Oryctolagus cuniculus: one gene and its partner. The protein of the gene in region 2 purifies or fractionates together with the protein of the main gene of each other region. This does not show direct contact. Links are inferred from orthologs where the notes say so. Each region holds a gene or a part of one and is shown on either strand. Other genes may lie near its edges.

The links.
Region 1: the proteins of FLII (region 2) and LRRFIP2 purify together in Homo sapiens (affinity purification with mass spectrometry; 3 studies listed by BioGRID and IntAct, with this or other methods). This does not show direct contact. The link is inferred for Oryctolagus cuniculus from reciprocal best matches to the Homo sapiens genes FLII and LRRFIP2.

What each region holds. Positions count from the first base shown.
Region 1 is NC_091435.1:173,416,830-173,425,272, forward strand, and holds part of LRRFIP2 (leucine-rich repeat flightless-interacting protein 2), read right to left. Parts: intron 4,644-8,443; exon of another isoform or gene 3,893-4,643; intron 3,159-3,892; exon of another isoform or gene 2,971-3,158; coding exon 2,869-2,970; exon of another isoform or gene 2,617-2,868; coding exon 2,484-2,616; intron 746-2,483; exon of another isoform or gene 597-745; coding exon 547-596; exon of another isoform or gene 1-546. UniProt on the Homo sapiens protein: May function as activator of the canonical Wnt signaling pathway, in association with DVL3, upstream of CTNNB1/beta-catenin.
Region 2 is NC_091448.1:62,263,484-62,272,534, reverse strand, and holds the start of FLII (protein flightless-1 homolog), read right to left. Parts: upstream 4,557-9,051; 5' UTR 4,462-4,556; coding exon 4,399-4,461; intron 3,156-4,398; coding exon 3,045-3,155; intron 2,800-3,044; coding exon 2,728-2,799; intron 1,862-2,727; coding exon 1,781-1,861; intron 1,473-1,780; coding exon 1,387-1,472; intron 1,237-1,386; coding exon 1,075-1,236; intron 971-1,074; coding exon 867-970; intron 573-866; coding exon 397-572; intron 270-396; coding exon 112-269; intron 1-111. Other genes in the region: MIEF2 (mitochondrial dynamics protein MID49), read left to right, coding at 6,862-7,008, 7,091-7,253, 7,381-8,444. UniProt on the Homo sapiens protein: Is a regulator of actin polymerization, required for proper myofibril organization and regulation of the length of sarcomeric thin filaments. It also plays a role in the assembly of cardiomyocyte cell adhesion complexes.

The DNA of each region.
Region 1 (8,443 bases), on a different chromosome or scaffold from region 2:
GAGTGATTGTGAAGGAGGAGAAAGGCGGCTCAGAACGCAGGACGGCTCCCCTAGGAGCTGGCTGAAAAGTTCTAACGACATACACAGCCTGGAATGGCACTTCCTTCATTAGCAGCAGAAGGCAGCGGGAGAGACACATGGCAGGGATCGGAGAGGAAAGACGGCTAAGCTCGTCTCCCCAGAGGGATGTCCACAGAGAATGCCCGAAACACAACAGTCACGTTCCAGAGTTACCCGAGGACGGCACACACCCAGAGAATCAGACTAAGGAATGGAGCAGGCATGGTCAGGGGGACGGAGAAGGATCCCTCCAGGAGGCTGCTGTCTTCACAGCAAACTTGGCAGAACCACAGAAGTTATTAGACTGAACATCTTTAAATTTAACAAACGGGAAGCAAAACAAGAATTTTTTTATCCTTTAAATCTCACTCGAATATCAACGTTTGAAATAAGCACAATTCTTTCTAAAAAACATTTCAGTTGGCCAACATTTTACAATATAATGTCATTAAACTTAGTATTATCTCCGAGTAAGAATCTTCTTACCTGTGACAGTAGCTCCTCCTTTTCCCCAGCAAGTTTTCGTAGCCTTACATCTAAAACAAATGTAAAAGGTTGTGAACTAAATTTGTAATGAAGAATAAATTTGTATGAAAAATAATTCTTCAAATTCATAAACAGCAAGTATTATCTGATCAGTTACATTACAGCTCTGAATATCAAAGAAATAAAGGCTCTAATGCAATTACAGAGGAATACTTAATTTGTTGGGGCACCAAATACATTTGCTCCCCAAAACATTTTCCCACTTTCTTAACGACAAGCCAAAGTACAAAAGAGAGAAGCTTCGTGTTTTAAAAATCTGCATGCTTTCACCAGCACGCAGGCAACTCAAATGCCATGGGTGCCGTCCCAAGCTCAAGCCCTCCCTCACTCAGCGAGGGCAATCAAAGCACTTGAAAGTAGACAGAGGGGACCGGAGCTGTAGCAGGTAGGGCCGCTGCCTGCAGGACCAGCATCCCATTTGAGCACCGGTTCAAGTCCCGGCTGCTCCTCTTCTGATCCAGCTCTGCTATGGCCTGGGAAAGCAGTAGAAGATGGCCCAAGGCCTTGGGTCCCTGCACCCGCGTGGAAGACCCAGAAGAAGCTCCTGGCTCCTGGCTTGGATCAGCGCAGCTCAAGTTGTTGTGGCCCATTGGGAAGTGAACCAGCAGATGGAAGACCTCTCTGTCTCTCCTTCTCTGTCTGTGTAACTCTTTCAGATAAAGAAATCTTAAAATAGATAAATAAATAAAGCAGACAGAGGGTGGGAGTGGGACAAGGCACAGGAAGAAGAGGGAGCTGGACTAAAGAAAACAGAGGAATACAACGCTGCAAATGGCCAAGTCCCACAAAGCCAGCAGAGGGAGGGGGGGGGACCGACTCTCCGATGTGGTCCAAGGGCGAATCTGAGGTTTGGAAGCAGGACGCTGAGGGTTGGCTCCTGGCCTGTCAGACGAAAGGGTTGCTTCTTCACAAGCCTGCATTAAAATAGGCCCCCTGGGCTGAGCAAACACCAGGAGTTCAGTTAAAGCAGCAGCTGACACTTGGCCAACCAAGCCCCACCACCAGTCAGGATCAGGGCCAAAGTGAGTCTGGTTTCTCCGGCATCTTCCACACATGGAGAGGTCCACTCTCTAGCTCCCTCGCGCTCGGCACACTCTCTGCTTCACTGAAGCGCTCTACAGTCAAACTTCAGGATTGAGCACATCACAGAATGTGCCTGCTGACTTTTCAAATGGTTTTCAGCCTCCACTGTTAGTGTCTCATACGCCTCCAGGCAACCTATGCATACATGAACACGAGCTGGGGAAGACTGCTTCTTCATAAACAAAAGTGAGGTGATGACACAGTATCTGTGTCGTTTTTCTTCCTCTGGTGTAGGGTCCTGGGCTGCAACGGTTGGCCCCCTTTGTGGCTGACAGGGGCAGCTATCATTAGACCCCAAAAGGGTTGGATGAGAGGCTAAGAGGCTTAGACTGTCACAGGCTTAGAAACCGTGTTCTGGATGTCCCACTCCTCTGACGTCTGTCTTCCTGTCCTCTGTTTTGTGCATTAAGAAATGTGCAGGCAAAGGGCTACAGAGCTCTGGGGTACGCAGTGGAAGAAGACATTTAAAACACACATGCGAAGGGTTCTGCCAGCCCACTGCTTCCCTGGGACGGGAGTGCTAGACGGTCTCTGCAGGAAGTCTGCAGAAGCGAAAAGGCAGTTCATGTAAACCCACGGTGCTTCTGCCCAGAGGACCCACAGCCACAGTTACCGGGACCCAGGTGCTACTTCCCCAAGGCCAAAGGTGCTAGTGCCCAGATTCTTCCAGTGAAGCGTCGAGGTCAGTCTCAGGCCTTGCGCTGTCTGCGTTTTCCAAGCTGGGATGTTGACAACAAGCTGGAAGCCCGACAGGGCGACATTAACCCAAGTCACCAGAACAGGCAGTGTCTTACCTAGTGGCCCTTCGCCTGCTGACTCCAAGACCTGAGCAGCTTCCTGAGACACAACGGTGATGGCTCCAACCACTGGTTCGTGATTGACATCACCATTGGGAGTGCCATCGGGAATTATAACTAAGCCATGTTTCTGTGGGAAAGAAAAAACCCACCATCACAAACGATGCGCACGCCAAGCAGTAAGCGCTGTGAGGTCACTCTGCAACAACACACGCTTGCCACAGCACAACCTGCTTAGAATCGGCATGTGAAGAAGAGCTCTGCGGAAAAACACGCTCCTACCAGGTCTGAACGGGGGAACAGGCTGCTGGTGGACTGGCACGAGAGACGCCAGGACGAGAGAAGACAGACAGAGGACAGCTGCGGGCTCATGCTAACGTACCTCTCCGGTCTGCACTGTCTCCCGCAGGTCAGCCAGCTCCTCTCGGAGCGCATCGCGCTCATCCCTGAGGCAGGCAGCGTGTTCCTTCTGTTTCTCTAGGGCCTGGTTTCAGGCGGGGTAGCGAGGGAAAGAATGGCACAGAAAAGAGCAAGTGAAAGGTAACTAATTCCAACCAGCAGAGACAAGGGCATCAAAAAGCAAGGAAGCAGTTACAGCTTGGAAACCAGCAGTCAGGGAGAGAAGAAACACAGAAGAGTCTACACATGAAGTGGTCCTCGTGCAGCAATTTGGTAAGAACAGGTTCCCTTCCAGTCATTAAAAAAATTTAAAGCAAAAGGAAGATGAACAAAGTAGCAAGAGTTAAAAGTATTCCCTTACTGACCTCCTCAGCACATTTTCACTTGGTGAACAAAATATGTTATGTTTAAGTAAAATCACTTATTCAAGAATATACCTGATTTAAAAAAAATTAGAGATTCAGGGGAAAATAGTATATACAAGGTATTTTAATTAAATATTGACTGTATGATTATATGCAAATACTACAGCAAAATACTCAAATACCAATTAATTTAAAATAACTCCTCTTCAAAAGGATTCTCAAGAATCTACTTCTGTGAATTTAGTTAAATACAATTAAGATTCACTTGGTTTTCTGATACATTTTCAAATTTTGAAAAACAAAAACAAAATGAATAGAGCCCAGCTGTGGCGGGGACAGATTATGGGTTTTAGTGTCAAGATCTCGGTCCTGGCACATACTTAGTTCAGCCATGCCTCCGTGTCCTCATTTAAAAACCAGAGGGCAACACGAGCACCATCCCACGGCCAGAGGCTGAGAGGTGGACTCAGCACAATCATTGCCAGAGTGCCCCAGACAGCAGGGAAGGCTCAGGAAAAGCAGGCTGACGTTCCCAGCTGTAAAGTTCCCGACACGGGGGCAGAATTTAGGCCTGCGGCTAAGCTGGTTCGGGCACCCACGCCCCACGTCAGAGCTCCTGACTCTACCTTCCTCCTAATGCAGGGCCTGGGACGCAGCGCTGATGCTTCGAGTACCGGAGTTCTCAGCACTCACGTGGGAAAGCTGGAACAAGTCCAGGCTCCCGGGCATCTGGAGAGTGAACCAGCGGACGGCAGCACTGCTGCTCACACACCCTACCACTCAAATCAAAACAAACTAAGCAAAAAACACGAGAATTCCCTGCACGTCCTCATCCCACAACTGCTGGGCTGAGGAGGACAGTGAGGCAGGAACATGCTTTGGTGATCCGTGAGATATCAGTTTCCTTTGATTATGTGATAAAATATCCACACTTCAAACCATGCCAAGCAGTGTGTGCAGGAATCTGACAGCTGAGCTAGTATATTTTTCATATACTTAATCTTTTCTGCCAGCATTTGCAATAAGTCAAGATGAACTACAACAAGTAACTTTTCTCTGTCGATGACTGGGTTTAGAAGTGGGGCAGGGACGGTGCTGTGGCTTAGCATATAGAGCCACCGCCCGTGACACCAGCATCCCATATGAACACTGGTTCTTGTCCTGGCTGCCCCTCGTCTGATTCAGCTCTCGGAGAACGTGCCTAGGGAGAGCAGCAGTCATCCAAGGGGGAGGCGCAGATGAAGCTCCTGGCTACTGGTTTTGGCTTGGCCCAGCCCTAGCTGTCCTGGCCACTGGGAAGTGAACCAGTGGATGGAAGGAGTGTGTGTGTGTATGTGTGTCACTCTTTCTCTCTGACTCGGCCTGTAAAATAAATGCATCTTTAAAAAAAGGACAACTGCTTCATTAACTGACAGCTGAATAGTTGAATATTTTAAAATATCATTACAATCATTCTGCAACCAATTTGAGAATAAACAAAGAAGGAGTGGTAACAAGTACCACGTATGTGGCATAAATTATATCACAGACATAATATATGTCTGTATCATATATATCAGATACAATTTCTCCCTTACACATATCACCTCCTTGACATTTCCTATAATGTACTACTATGTCTTATCCTTATTTTACAAACTGGAAAACTGAGACTGAAAAAGACGAATTTGTTTGTTTTTGTCCAAAGTCACAGTAAGTTTTAGAAATGCCAGAAAATTGATCCAGTTAGTTTTGGTTTCAAAGCTCGTGCAAACAGTTTTTTATATCCAGTCCCACGAAGGCTGCATCATGTTCCTATCAGACCAGCTGATGGTGGAAAAAATAGTCCACAGGGTGAGTCCCCTCTTTCCTTATCCAAACCACAAGGTCAACATCTAATGTCCTTTCCATGATTTATTTTCACACCGTTGGATGTGTCTCAGGTCTGCTTGCAAGCTAATAACTGGAGTTTCTGGCATAGGCATTTACTCTAAGACGTCACTGTAGCTGGCGCCGCGGCTCACTAGGCTAATCCTCCACCTTGCGGCGCCGGCACACCGGGTTCTAGTCCCGGTCGGGGCGCCGGATTCTGTCCCAGTTGCCCCTCTTCCAGGCCAGCTCTCTGCTGTGGCCCGGGAGTACAGTGGAGGATGGCCCAGGTGCTTGGGCCCTGCACCCCATGGGAGACCAGGAGAAGCACCTGGCTCCTGCCATCGGATCAGCATGGTGCGCCGGCCGCAGCATGCCAGCCGCGGCGGCCACTGGAGGGTGAACCAATGATAAAGGAAGACCTTTCTCTCTGTCTCTCTCTCTCTCACTGTCCACTCTGCTTGTCAAAGATAAAAAAAAAAAAAAAAAAAAAAAAAAAAAAAGACGCCACTGTAGCTGTGAGATTCCACTACATTAATAACAAAGAAAACACCTGCAGAACAAGGCAGAGTACTAGACCACCCACTGACACTACGTTCCTCTCCGCTGGGTTAGATATTCCTGGTTATTGACAGCGGCATGCGCTCACGCCATGCACCACCACACCACAGCATGCTCGCCATGAAACAACACCATGACATGCAAAACACCTCTAAAGCAACAAACCAACGTGAAACTAAGAATTCCAGCAAACGCCACGGCATATTTGCTCTTCTTCCACATCTTATACCACTGGGTTTTATTTTTACTCTTGAACTTTTTAATTTCATCTTCCCAAAATCATAGATGGGAAAACAAAATATATCCTATGAATCTGCCCAGTTTACCACAAAGTCTGAAGAGTACTAAAATGCTTTATAATCTGAAAGCCTCTGTATTACCTGACCATATAACTATCATCCTTCTGTTTGTATGCAACAATAGTTCCTACAGTAATTTTTTTAGGGCAAAAAGTATATGTTTGTGGAGATCTAAATAACTTTATCCTTGACCCAACCTCAAACACTACATCAAAGACACCAAAAGGATAGACACAATGGGCTGAGCTTTGGGGCAATAGGTTAACCCTCCACATAACTGCATTGGGGCACAAACATCTTAGTCACAAAGTTTATGCGGGGCCAGCGCTGTGGCATGGCAGGGAAGCTGCTGCCTGCAGGGCCGGCATCCTAGCTGGGCACCGGTTTGAGTCCCGGCTGTTCTGTTTCCAATTCGGCTCTCAGTTATGGCCTGGGAAAGCAGTAGAAGATGGCCTAAGTCCTTGGGCCTCTGTACTCATGTGGGAAAACCCGGAGGAAGCTCCTGGCTCCTGGCTTCAGATTGGTGCAGCTCCAGCCGTTGTGGCCAACTGGGGAGTGAACCAGCGGATGAAGACCTCTCTCCCTCTCTTTTCCTCTGTGTGTTACTCTTTCAAATAAATAAATAAATCTTTAAAAACAAAAAAAGAGCTTAGGGTGCACCTCACAGATAAAAGTCCTTCATGCTCCCCTTTTTATGGGCACCTGCTGCTCAAACTGCCACAGAGCTGCAGGCAAGACCCCTGAGTTCAGTGAAGGAAGAACTAAGCAAAACTGAACTTCAGTCTGGAAACAGACATGTTTCTTCATTTAATCTTCACTAAATTTAGTCTTAAAAATTATACTAAAGACAAATGATGCAGTCGGGGTGGGGAACCTTTTTTCTGCCAAGGGCCACTGGACATTTATAGCATCATTCATGGGCCACACAAAATTACCAACTTAAACACTAGCCGATTAGGGGCTAGCATTGTGGTATAGCATCCCATATGGGTGCTGGTTCGAGTCCCTGCTGCTCCATTTCCCATCCAGCTCTCTGCTGTGGCCTGGGAAAGCAGTAGAAGATGTTCCAAGTCCTTGGGCTGCTATGCCCACATGGGAGATCTGGAAGAAGCTCTTGGCTCCTGGTTCAGATCGGCACAGTTCTGGACATTGCATCCATTTGGGGAGTGAACCAACAGATGGAAGATCTCTCTCTCTCTCTGCCTCTACCTCTTTGTAACTCTGCCTTTCAAACAAAATAAATAAATAAATAAACAAACAAACAAACTAGCCTACTATAGATTTATGGAATTTTGAGTCCTGGCTAAGGCTGCTGTGGCAGGGCCTTATAGGGCCTGCGGGCAGCTGCTCCCCATCCCTGCAGGTAGTCACTGACCATACTAAAAATGTGTCTTTTAAATGTCAAAATGGGGGCTGGCACTGTGGTACAGCAGGTTAAGCTGCTGCCTGCAACACCAGCATCCCCTATGGGCACCACTTCATGCCCCAACTGCTCCACTTCCAATCCAGCTCCCTGCTAATGTGCCTAGGAAAGGAGCAGACGATGGCCCAAGTACTTGGGCCAATCACTCATGTGGATAGCCCCATGAAGCTCCTGGCTCTTGGCCACTGCAGTCATTTGGGAAGTAAATCAGGAAATGAAAGATCTCTCTATCCCTATCACTGTCACTCGGCCTTTCAAATAAATAAAACTTTAAAAAAAACTGTCAAAATGAAAAATGGTTAAAATAACATTCTATGTCACCTTAGCACAATTTTTTGAATTCAATAAAAAGGGAGGTATAACCTATCAATACAAACAACGTGGATGGATCCTGAGAGGGCTTAGGCTGTGATAAAGCTAATTCCAAAAGGTTATGTACTATATGACTGCATTTGTTTAACATCCTTAAAATGTAAAATTATAGAAACAGGGAGCAGACTCATGGCTCCCAGGGCTTGGGCATAGGGGTAATAGACATGGCTATAAAAGAGCAAGGGGAAAGATCTCTTATGATGACGGAAATGTTAGTTGCCTATATCAAGGTCAATGTTCCAGCTGGGACACTGTACTACAGTTTTGGAAGATGCTACATTGGAGAAAACTGGGGAAACAGTATGCAGGATCTCTCTGTATTATTTCTTAGTGACATGAAATCCTAAAATTTTCTCCAAAGCATTTAATTTTTAAAAGTTAAAAGGACACATTATTGTGTAACATATAAAATAAAGATACCCTAAATAATTTATACCTTAACCATAAGCATACCCTTTTAATAGCCCCCCCCACACACACACACAAAAAAAAAAACCCACCTGTTTCTTTAGCATAGTTACTTTATTGGACTGAAGGTCCTAGGGGTTTCCTATGGCTGTCCAAGTACTAAGAAAACGGCACTCACTACAACTGCTGGACCTGCAGATCTGTGCTACAGGAAGCTCCCTGTTCCAGGCAGTGACTCAAAGCGCCTCCTTTCACTCACACACTCATTCACATCTCTCTTCA
Region 2 (9,051 bases):
GAGCCCAAGTTCGCGGGCACCGTGACCCTGTAGAAGGTGGGAGCAGCCTCGGGCCCCCACCCCCGGTGTAGCCCCGCCCCCCGCGTGGCCCCGCCCCTCCCGGCGCAGCACCTGCAGAGGCTCTCCGGGATCAGCTCCAGGTTGTTGTTGGTGGCCATGAACTCCTCCAGGCTGCTCAGCTTGCCGATGCTGGAGGGCAGCCCATCGAAGTCCAGCTTGTTGGAGTTCAGGTACAGCTTCTTCAGCTTGGTCAGCTTGCAGATGGCCGACTGCGGGGGGCGCAGGGCAGCGGCGGGGGGGGGGGGGAAGGCGAGCGGTCAGGGCCAGGCTGGGGCCCAGCAGCCCAACGTCTCCCTCCCCTCCGGCCCTCCCGCGTGGCCCCAGGCCCAGACGCACGGGCAGGGAGGTGAGCTGGTTGCGGGACAGGTTCAGGGTCTCCAGGTGCACCCACTGGTCGATGCACAGGGACAGCTCCGGGATCTGGTTGCTGCTAAGGTTGAGGCGGCGCAGGCTGGGCAGGGTGTACAGGCACTCGGGCACCCTGGTCAGGTCGTTGCACGACAGGTCCACGTCTGGGCAGGGGAGGGGGCGTGGGAGCATGAGCCAGCCGGGGGCCACAGTAGGTACCGGGTGGCCAGCCCCGGGCTGTGTCGCTGTAGGCTAGGGACAACCTTTCCAAGCTGTTTCTCTCTGGACAAAGCCACTCAGCCTGAGTGGATCACCAAGGGCCCGCACCGGCTGCTGGTGGCCCCAGGGCTGTGACAGACGGACAGCCACAATCCCAACGCAACCGTGCCCTTCTCCCGGGGAGGGGAGGGGGCGTGGGGTCTGAGCACGGGAGGCGGCGCGGGGGGTGGGGGGGTCACCTGCGAGGTTGCTCAGGCCCTCCAGGCTGGTGGGCAGGTTGCTCTGGGTGCGCTGGGTGTTGCGCAGGTGCAGCGTCTGCAGGGCTGTCATGGCCGGGAGCTGCCTGGGGGAGGGGTGGGTGACACACACAGGCGGTCAGGGGCAGGGGCGGGGCGCCCCGTGTACCCCAGGGGCGGGGGCGGGGAGGGGAGCGAGCCGGGCGCCCACCGGAGCTGCGCGTGCAGCAGCGGGTTCCCGTTGAGCACCAGCGTCTGCAGGTGCACCAGGCGGCGCATCTGCGGGGGCAGGCTCTCCAGCCGGTTCTCACTGAGGTCCAGGTACAGCAGGTCGGTGAGGTTGATGAACAGCTGGTTGGGGATGGTGTCGATGCTGTGGGCGGGGCGGGGGACGGCGCTGCCTGAGTCCTCGGGGTGGGGACACTCACGCCCAGCCCCGGCCTCAGGTCCCCGGCCCCAGCCCTCCAGCCCCGTCCCCACCCCACCCCCGCCCCCCGGCACGTGCGCGCGGCTGGCCGGGCACCTGTTGTGGCTGAGGTTGAGCACCAGCATGTTCCTGGCGTTCTCCAGCTCCCGCGGGCACTCGGTCAGCTGGTTGTGGCTCAGGTCCTAGGGAGACGGGCCAAATCCCAGGTCGGGGCGTCCCCGCCCCCACCCTGCTTCTGCCAACCTTGGCGATGAGGTAAGGCACTGAGAGCCAGGGCATGAGGGGGTCTCAGGGCCAAAGCGGCTGGGGCCTCGGGCAGAGGGGCGTTTGGGCTAGGGCTGGGACTCCAGGCGTGACCTCGGGCAAGGCCCGCTCCGGCCTCAGTCTTCCCGTCTGTAAACTGGGCTAACAGTGGGCCCAGGGGCCATCGCGATGGGTGGGGACTGGACCAAGAGGCTGGCAGGGGGCAGCTGGGCGGGCAGCCACTGACCAGGACAGAAAGGTCCTCCAACTTGAAGATGTCGTCAGGGACTCCGGAGTTCTTCAGCTGGTTGGCTCGAGCCACGATGGCCTGCGGGTAGACCACGAGAGTCCCTGCTTCCTGGCTTCCACCCCCCGCCCCGGGAAGAGGCAGAGGCAGAGGCAGAGGTGGGCCCCTTTGGGCCTGCCCTGTCTCTGCTCTACAGCCTCCCGCGGTGAGCTCCTATTCACGCTTCAAAACCCAAATGTGCCCCAGAGCCCAGCACGGAAACCCCAGATGTTTCTGATCAGACACCCCTCCTGTTCATTCAGGAAGATGGGGTGCGGTTTGGAGTGAGGGTGGCTAGGACAGATGGAGGGGGCTGGAGTGAAGAGAGGGCAACGTGGGCTGACCGGAAATGCTTCCCTCCCTAAGGTCGGGGACAGAGCGGGGACCCATGCGACCCCGGGGCCGCCCCTGCCACCTCCGCAGCGCTGTGCGGTTGCCCACGGGGTCCCCACTGGCCCTCCCAGCCACCCCATCTGCAGAAGGGACTTGTCCCAGGCCACACAGCTGGGAGTGGCAGAGCCCGGCTTGGCTCCGGGGGAGCTCCCAGGGCTGAGGCTCCAGCCGGGGCCAGGGCCACCTCCCTGAGGCTCCGAGGGCCCGGCCAGCAGTCTAACATCCAGCAGGGAAGAGCGCCCACTGGCCAAACCCCGCCCCCCCGACTCCAGCTGTTCGGCTGCCCGGCTGTGTGGCCTTGGGCGAGTGACCTGCGCCTGTGGCCATGTCCTCATCTGCGACACCGTCAGGCATGGGGGGACGTGGACGTCCACTCGGCATGCCTGGCACCCGTGGAGCTGTCCCCACCCACAGGGACCACGCCACGTCCACCCACGACAAAGGGCCCCAGAGCCCGGAGCCTGGCAGAGAAGCCGGCCGGGCCCTGCCTGGGGTCCGGCACCCGCCGCACTCACCCGCAGAGAAGGCAGGCTGGACAGCTCCCCGTGAAGCGTGGTGAGGTTGTTGTGGCTCACGGACAGGTGCTCCTGTGCCAGGGCGGGGCAGCGGAGGCTCAGTGGGGCGGGGCGGGGGTATCCACAGTCCCCACCTGCCACCCCTGCTCTGCACAGCCCCAGACGGCCAGCGCCAGCCCAGGACGCCCCCACAGCCTCCTTCCTGCTCAGACCCAGCTTCTTGCACACCTCCCAGGACGGGGCGCTCATCCCCTCCCTGTCTGCCAGATCCTCCCAAGGCCCCGCCCCTCCTCCCCACAGACCCCACCCCTCCTCACCAGCTTCTGCAGGGCGGCTAGCTCCTCGGGCAGGTAGCAGAGGCCTGTGCGGTTCAGCTTCAGCCATCGTAGGCTTGTCATGGACTTGACATTCTCAGGGAAGTAGCCACCCTGGGGTGGGGGTGGGGGTGTGCTGAGGCTGGCCTGGGAGAGGGCTCCCCCTGCCCGTGGGCACATTTGAGGGAGGCCACACAGCCAACTCTCAACAACCACAAGATCCTCCCCACAGGCCCCGCCCCCTCCAGGGGAGCCCTCCCTACTGGCCCAAGCCCCTCCCCTACCCGTGGAGGCTCCAGGGGCCAGAGCGGAGGCCTAAGAGGGTCTCTGCTACTGCCCTTGAGCCCCAGGAGGGGCCAAGCAAAATGGGGATATCCTGGCCCCCCCATTGTGTGGTGAGCTTAGCTCAAATTCCTGGGCCCCATACTCTGGGTCTGCCTGGGCTGTGGGACCCCACCCCCACCCCGTACCCTCAGCACCCTGGCCACTCCTAGCAAGGTCCCCTGCCCTGTGTCCCCCTCTCCCAACCCTGCCCGAGTGGGTGCCACCTCCTTCCTTCCCCGTGTTCCCCTCCCCAACACCCCCCCCCCAGCCCTCGTGGCCGAGTCTGGGGCAGCCGCTGCAGCCAGTGCCCAGGGGCTGTGCCCCTCCCCCCACCGGCCACATTCCCAGCTGGTGACTCAGGCCCGCCCAAGCCCAGGGGAGAAGCGTGGAGACCCCAAGTGGGGATGGCTGAGGTCGGGACGAGGAACGGAGATGGGACAGCACAGATGTGGACAACACAGGCTGGACAGGAGCCCGCCGGCCTCCGCCCCACACCCTGAGACGCCTAAGTGGACAGGCCAGAGGTTGCCCATCACCGGCCGGAAGCCCCGCCCACCTGGCTCTGGCTCTGGGCGCCCCTACCCATATTGAGAACCTCCCCCCAGCCAGAGCGTCCAGACCGCAAGTCTACACTCGCAGGGTAGACTCGAGTCCCTTCTCCGGATGAGAAAAACCCAGGCCCGGGAGAGGGGAAGTGACTTGCCCAAGACCACACAGGATGGAGCGCAGGGCGGTGATGAGCCGCCTCCGGGCCCGCCCTTGGGCAGCCAAGGCAGCGGCGGCCCTGAGTCAGCGGCCGGCTGGGCCGTGAGACCCCCGGGGCGGCGGTGCGCAGGCCCGCAGCGCCCACGCCCTCCCCCGGCCTGGGCCCGCGCCGCTCGGGCTCGGCCTTCCCGCGGGGGGACGCTGGGCGGAGGCCCGGGGTGCCGGCTGCGGGCTGCGGTGGGGAGGCCCGCAGAGCCCCGGCCGCCGCCCGCAGTGTGGCCGGAGGCGGGCGAGGTGGTGCCCGCGCCGAGCCCGGATCGCCGCTCACCTTGAAGTCGTTGCCGCTGAGGTCCACGCCGCGCACGAACGGCAGCACCCCGGTGGCCTCCATGGCGGCGCCGCTCTCGCTGCCGGGCCGGCCGGGCGCTGGGGGCGGCTCGGGAGCCGCGGGCTGGGCCAGCGCCGACTCCGCCCCGTTAACCCGCCCGCGCCCGCCGCCGCCGGCACCTCGGGCCTCGCCGGGGCCCGGGGCCTTGCGCTCTGGGGACCTCGCCGGGGCCCTGGGCCTTGCGCTCTGGGGACCTCGCCGGGGCCCGGGGCCTTGCGCTCTGGGGACCTCGCCGGGGCCCTGGGCCTTGCGCTCTGGGGACCTCGCCGGGGCCCGGGGCCTTGCGCTCTGGGGACCTCGCCGGGGCCCTGGGCCTTGCGCTCTGGGGACCTCGCCGGGGCCCGGGGGCCTTGCGCTCTGGGGGCCTCGCACTCTGCGTCCGCGCACAAGGGGTCCCCGGCGGTCTCCGTGCGGAGCCGGGGCGGCCCCACCTTCCTCACCCTACCAAGGTGGTGGCCGGCAGCGAGTGACCACGCGCGCACGTGCGGCTCGAAGCACGCAGCAGGTGCTTGGTGCGTGGCAGGTGGTTCTCATTAAGGCCCGCATGCAAACCACCCTTCCCAGGGGCGCTGCCTACGTCCCCATTGTACGGCACGGGAAACTGAGGCCCAGGCGGACAGAGGGCAGGCCCAGGGACGCACGGGGCCGGCGGCACACCCCCTACCCCGCGCGCAGACAGGTGCTAAGGCGCTCCCGCAAAGGTGACTTAGGGGTCGGCGTGCAGGCCTTTGGACCAGGTGCTACCACCCGTCTGCCCGGCCAGAGGAAGGAAACTGGGGCCCAGCCAGCTTCCTCCACGCGGGAGGCTCACATCACACACGCACACGCGCACGCATCCCCCGCGCCTCTGTGGGCTCCAAGCAGGCACCACGCAAACGTTGCGGGCCCAATAATGCAGCCCTGCGCCTTTAAATCCGGAGTGCCCCCGGAAAGCCCCGCCTCCGAGGGAGCGCGCAGGGCGGAGAAGGGGCGTGGCAGGCCCCTCATTGGCCGAACCTCGCAGTGTTTTGGAACGCCCCTGAAGAAGCCGAGCGCTCCGATTGGAGCTAGGGCCTGCTCGTCTGCCTACGCCAGCGCCTCGGCCTTCGGGGCCCGGGTCCTTCACGTTCCATCCGCAGGCGGGTTCCGGCGCCGGGTCCCGGCGGGCCCGCTGCGTGGTCCGGTCGGTGTGTGGACGCCGCGACGCAGGTACGGCTGGGAGCCCGGCGGGGCCTCCCCGACAACCCGCATCCCGGGTCCCCCAGCCCTAGGTGTGGCGCACGTCCGGGGGCGGGGCCCGGGAGGATTCCTGTGAGCCCCGAGTTCGAGTCCCGGCCCTGCCGTTCCCGGCTCGGGTGCTTGACTGGGTTTCCCAAGGCCTCCGTTGTCCTCGCCTGTGAACCGGCCCACCGAGGGACTGCCGCGCCGGCCTGGTAAGCCCGGGCCCAGCGCCGGCGGCTTGCGGGTTATTTTTAACTGCTCGGTTCCTGCGCGCCCCCCACCCCTTAGGTGGCACGGAGCCCTCGCTGGGGCAGGTGCGCGTGCGCTGGAGGGGTGGGCATTTCAAGTGCTTTACGCACTTGGCAGCGTGGAGGCCTGGGGGCCGATGGCAGCGCTGGTCCGTGGCCGGGGCCGCGGGGGTCAGCCGGCTGGCCCGTGACCTCCCCCAGGACGCCGGAGCCCCGTCTTATTTTTAGTCTGGCGCTAAGAGGCAGGTGTCCCGGGCTGAGTCACACAGAGCTTCGGGCTCCAGCTGCCCCGGGCAGTGGGGGGGCAGGGCACCCAGGGCGCAGCAGGAGGGCGGGCCGTGACCTCGCCGTCCAACGCTGAGGCTCCCGGGTGCCCTTGGCCACCCGTCCCCTGCACCCTCAGGGCCCGAGGTCAGGGTGGGCGTGGGCCTTCTCTGCCTCCACTCGGGCACTGCTCACCTCCTACCAGCTGGGCTGTGGCTCCAGGCCTGCATCTGGCTTAGCATCCTGCAGCCAACCCCCACCCCCCGACCCCGCCCCGACCTCTTGAGGAGCCGGCCACAGCCAGGAGGCCCTGCCCCCCCATCCCCTACCCTGACCTTGTGCTGAGCCGGCCACAGCCAGGGGGCCCTCTCTTTGGGGTCTTCATCTTTGGAGTTCCCTGCTCAATGCCCTTCTACATGATGGCTCCTGGCAGCCCGGACCCTCTGCCAGGGGCCTCCGTGTGAGCCCCCTTTGCCAGGGGCTGGGTTATTGGCCGGTTTGGGGAGGGGTCGTGGCTGCTCCCCCGGCTCCGTGCAGGAAGCCCTGCTAGCAGCCCCTGACTCACGAGGAATCTTCCAGAAGCTCCTCCTTGTGGACCCCAGAGCCCCTGTGCCTGCCCAGCCAGGTGCCCTCCCCGCCCCACCCCCACCCCGCAGCTACCCCGCGCCCCCGGCTCCCCTGCAGGTGGACCATGGCGGAGTTCTCCCAGAAGCGGGGGAAGCGGCGTGGCGGCGAGGGCCTGGGCGGCGCCGTGGACTTCCTCCTGGCCAACGCCCGCCTGGTGCTGGGTGTGGGCGGCGCGGCTGTGCTGGGCATTGCCACACTGGCCGTGAAGCGGGTAAGGCCGGGCTGGCGGGGGCTGGGGCTTGGTCATGGCTGCCGGCCGCCAGGTGCCCTGCTCAGCGCCGCTCTGCCCGCAGCTCATCGACAGGGCCACCGGCCCCCGGGACGAGGATGACGCCAAGGGGGACGGCTGGACGGAGCTGAGCCTGCTCAAGGCCACGCCGCACCAGCAGCCCCGGCCCCCACCTGCCGCCCTCAGCCTGCCCGAGCCACGCCGGCCCCCTGCCCCCTCCACGCCAGGTGAGCCGGAGCCTGCGCCCGGGTCCCTGCTCAGGCTGTTGGAGCTGTGTGGCCAGGGTGCTGGGATGCGGTCGGGTTCCCGCAGTGCATTGTGGGCTGCTCTGACGTGTCCCCCTTGCCTCTGCAGAGGGGCCCGCGGACGCCGGTCCCCAGCCGCCGCCTCTGCTCAGCCCCCCGGCCCCGCTGTGCCTGACCTTCCAGGAGAAGCTGCTGGCATTCGAGCAGGCCCACGTGGCCATCCCCGAGGCCCAGGTGGCCTTGGCCAAGCAGCTGGCCGGCGACATCGCCCTGGAGCTGCAGGCCTACCTGCGGAACAAGTTTCCCGAGCTGCCCTTTGGGGCCCTCGTGCCCGGCGGGCCGCTCTACGACGGGCTGCAGGCCGGGGCCGCCGACCAGGACCACGTGCGCCTCTCGGTGCCGCTGGCGCTGGAGCCGGGCCTCTGGAGCCTGGTGCCCGGCGTGGACACCGTGGCCAGGGACCCTCGCTGCTGGGCCGTGCGCAGGACTCAGCTGGAGTTCCGCCCCCGCGGCAGCAGCCCCTGGGACCGCTTCCTGGTGGGCGGCTACCTGTCCTCCCGCCTCCTGCTGGGTCTGCTGCGCAAGGCGCTCACCGCCTCCGTCAACTGGCCGGCCATCAGCGGGCTGCTCGGGTGCCTGATCCGGCCCAGCGTGGCCTCGGAGGAGCTGCTGCTGGAGGTGCGGCACGAACGCCTGGAGCTCACCGTGGCTGTGCTCCTGGCCGTCGCCGGGGCCGGCACGGGCGCCGACTGCCAGCTCCTGGCCTGGCCCCTGGAGGGGCTGGCTGGGAACCTCTGGCTGCACGACCTGTACCCCAAGGAGGCTGCCCGACTGCGGGCCCTGGATGAGCAGGACGCCGGCAGCCGGCGGCGGCTGCTGCTGCTGCTATGTGGCGTCTGCCGTGGCCACCCCGCCCTGGCCCGCCTGGGCCGGGGGCCCCTGACGCAGGTGGTCCTGCGGGCGGGGGAGCAGGACGTGGACTGGACCGAGGCGGCCCTGGGGGAGCGCTTCCTGCAGGCCCTGGAGCTGCTGCTCCAGAGCCTGGAGCAGGCCAGCCTGCCCTGCCACTTCAACCCCGCTGTGGACCTGCTGGCCGGCCTGCGGGACCAGGACATCGACGACGCGGGCTACGCCCTGTACTGCGGCCTGCAGGCACCCGAGGCGCTGCTGTAGGCCCGGGAGGGCCCCTGGCACCGCGCCCGCCTCCCGTCCCGTGGTCACGTGGGCTTTGGAGTGGATTTGTTTGTGCTTGCTTGCAGCCAGAACAGTAGAGGGTGCTCCGCTGAGCAGGCCTGGCCTGTGGCCGTCTGGATCCTTGAGCCCCAGGGGCTTGAGTCGCTGGCACCCAAATGTGCCTGGGCCTTTCAGGGCCAGCCGAGGACCTTGACCTTGGGCCCTGACCGTCATCACCAGCAAGGAGCCCTCTGCCGTCCTGGCCGGGGGCTGCCCGCTCCGCTTCCTGCTGAGTGTGATTGAGGCTTTCCTGGGCGCCCCCTGGTGGCTGAGCCGTTGAAGTGTGTGGCATTTTCTGCAGGGACGCCGCGGGCTCGGTTTTCTCGCTGAGCCCCCTGCAGCCCTGGCGCTGGCGCTGCCTGATGCACTACCCGACCCTACCTCAGGGAAAGCCCCTTCCTTCCGCCAGGGGGGTGCTGCGGGGCCCTGCTGGAGCCGGGGGGGGGCATGCCCCGCCCCCGCCGTGGGGCCCCGAACCAGCCACCCTCAGCCGAGCTGTGTGCCGTGAGTCTGAAGATGGCCGGGGTGTGGTGGGGGCTGGAGGGGG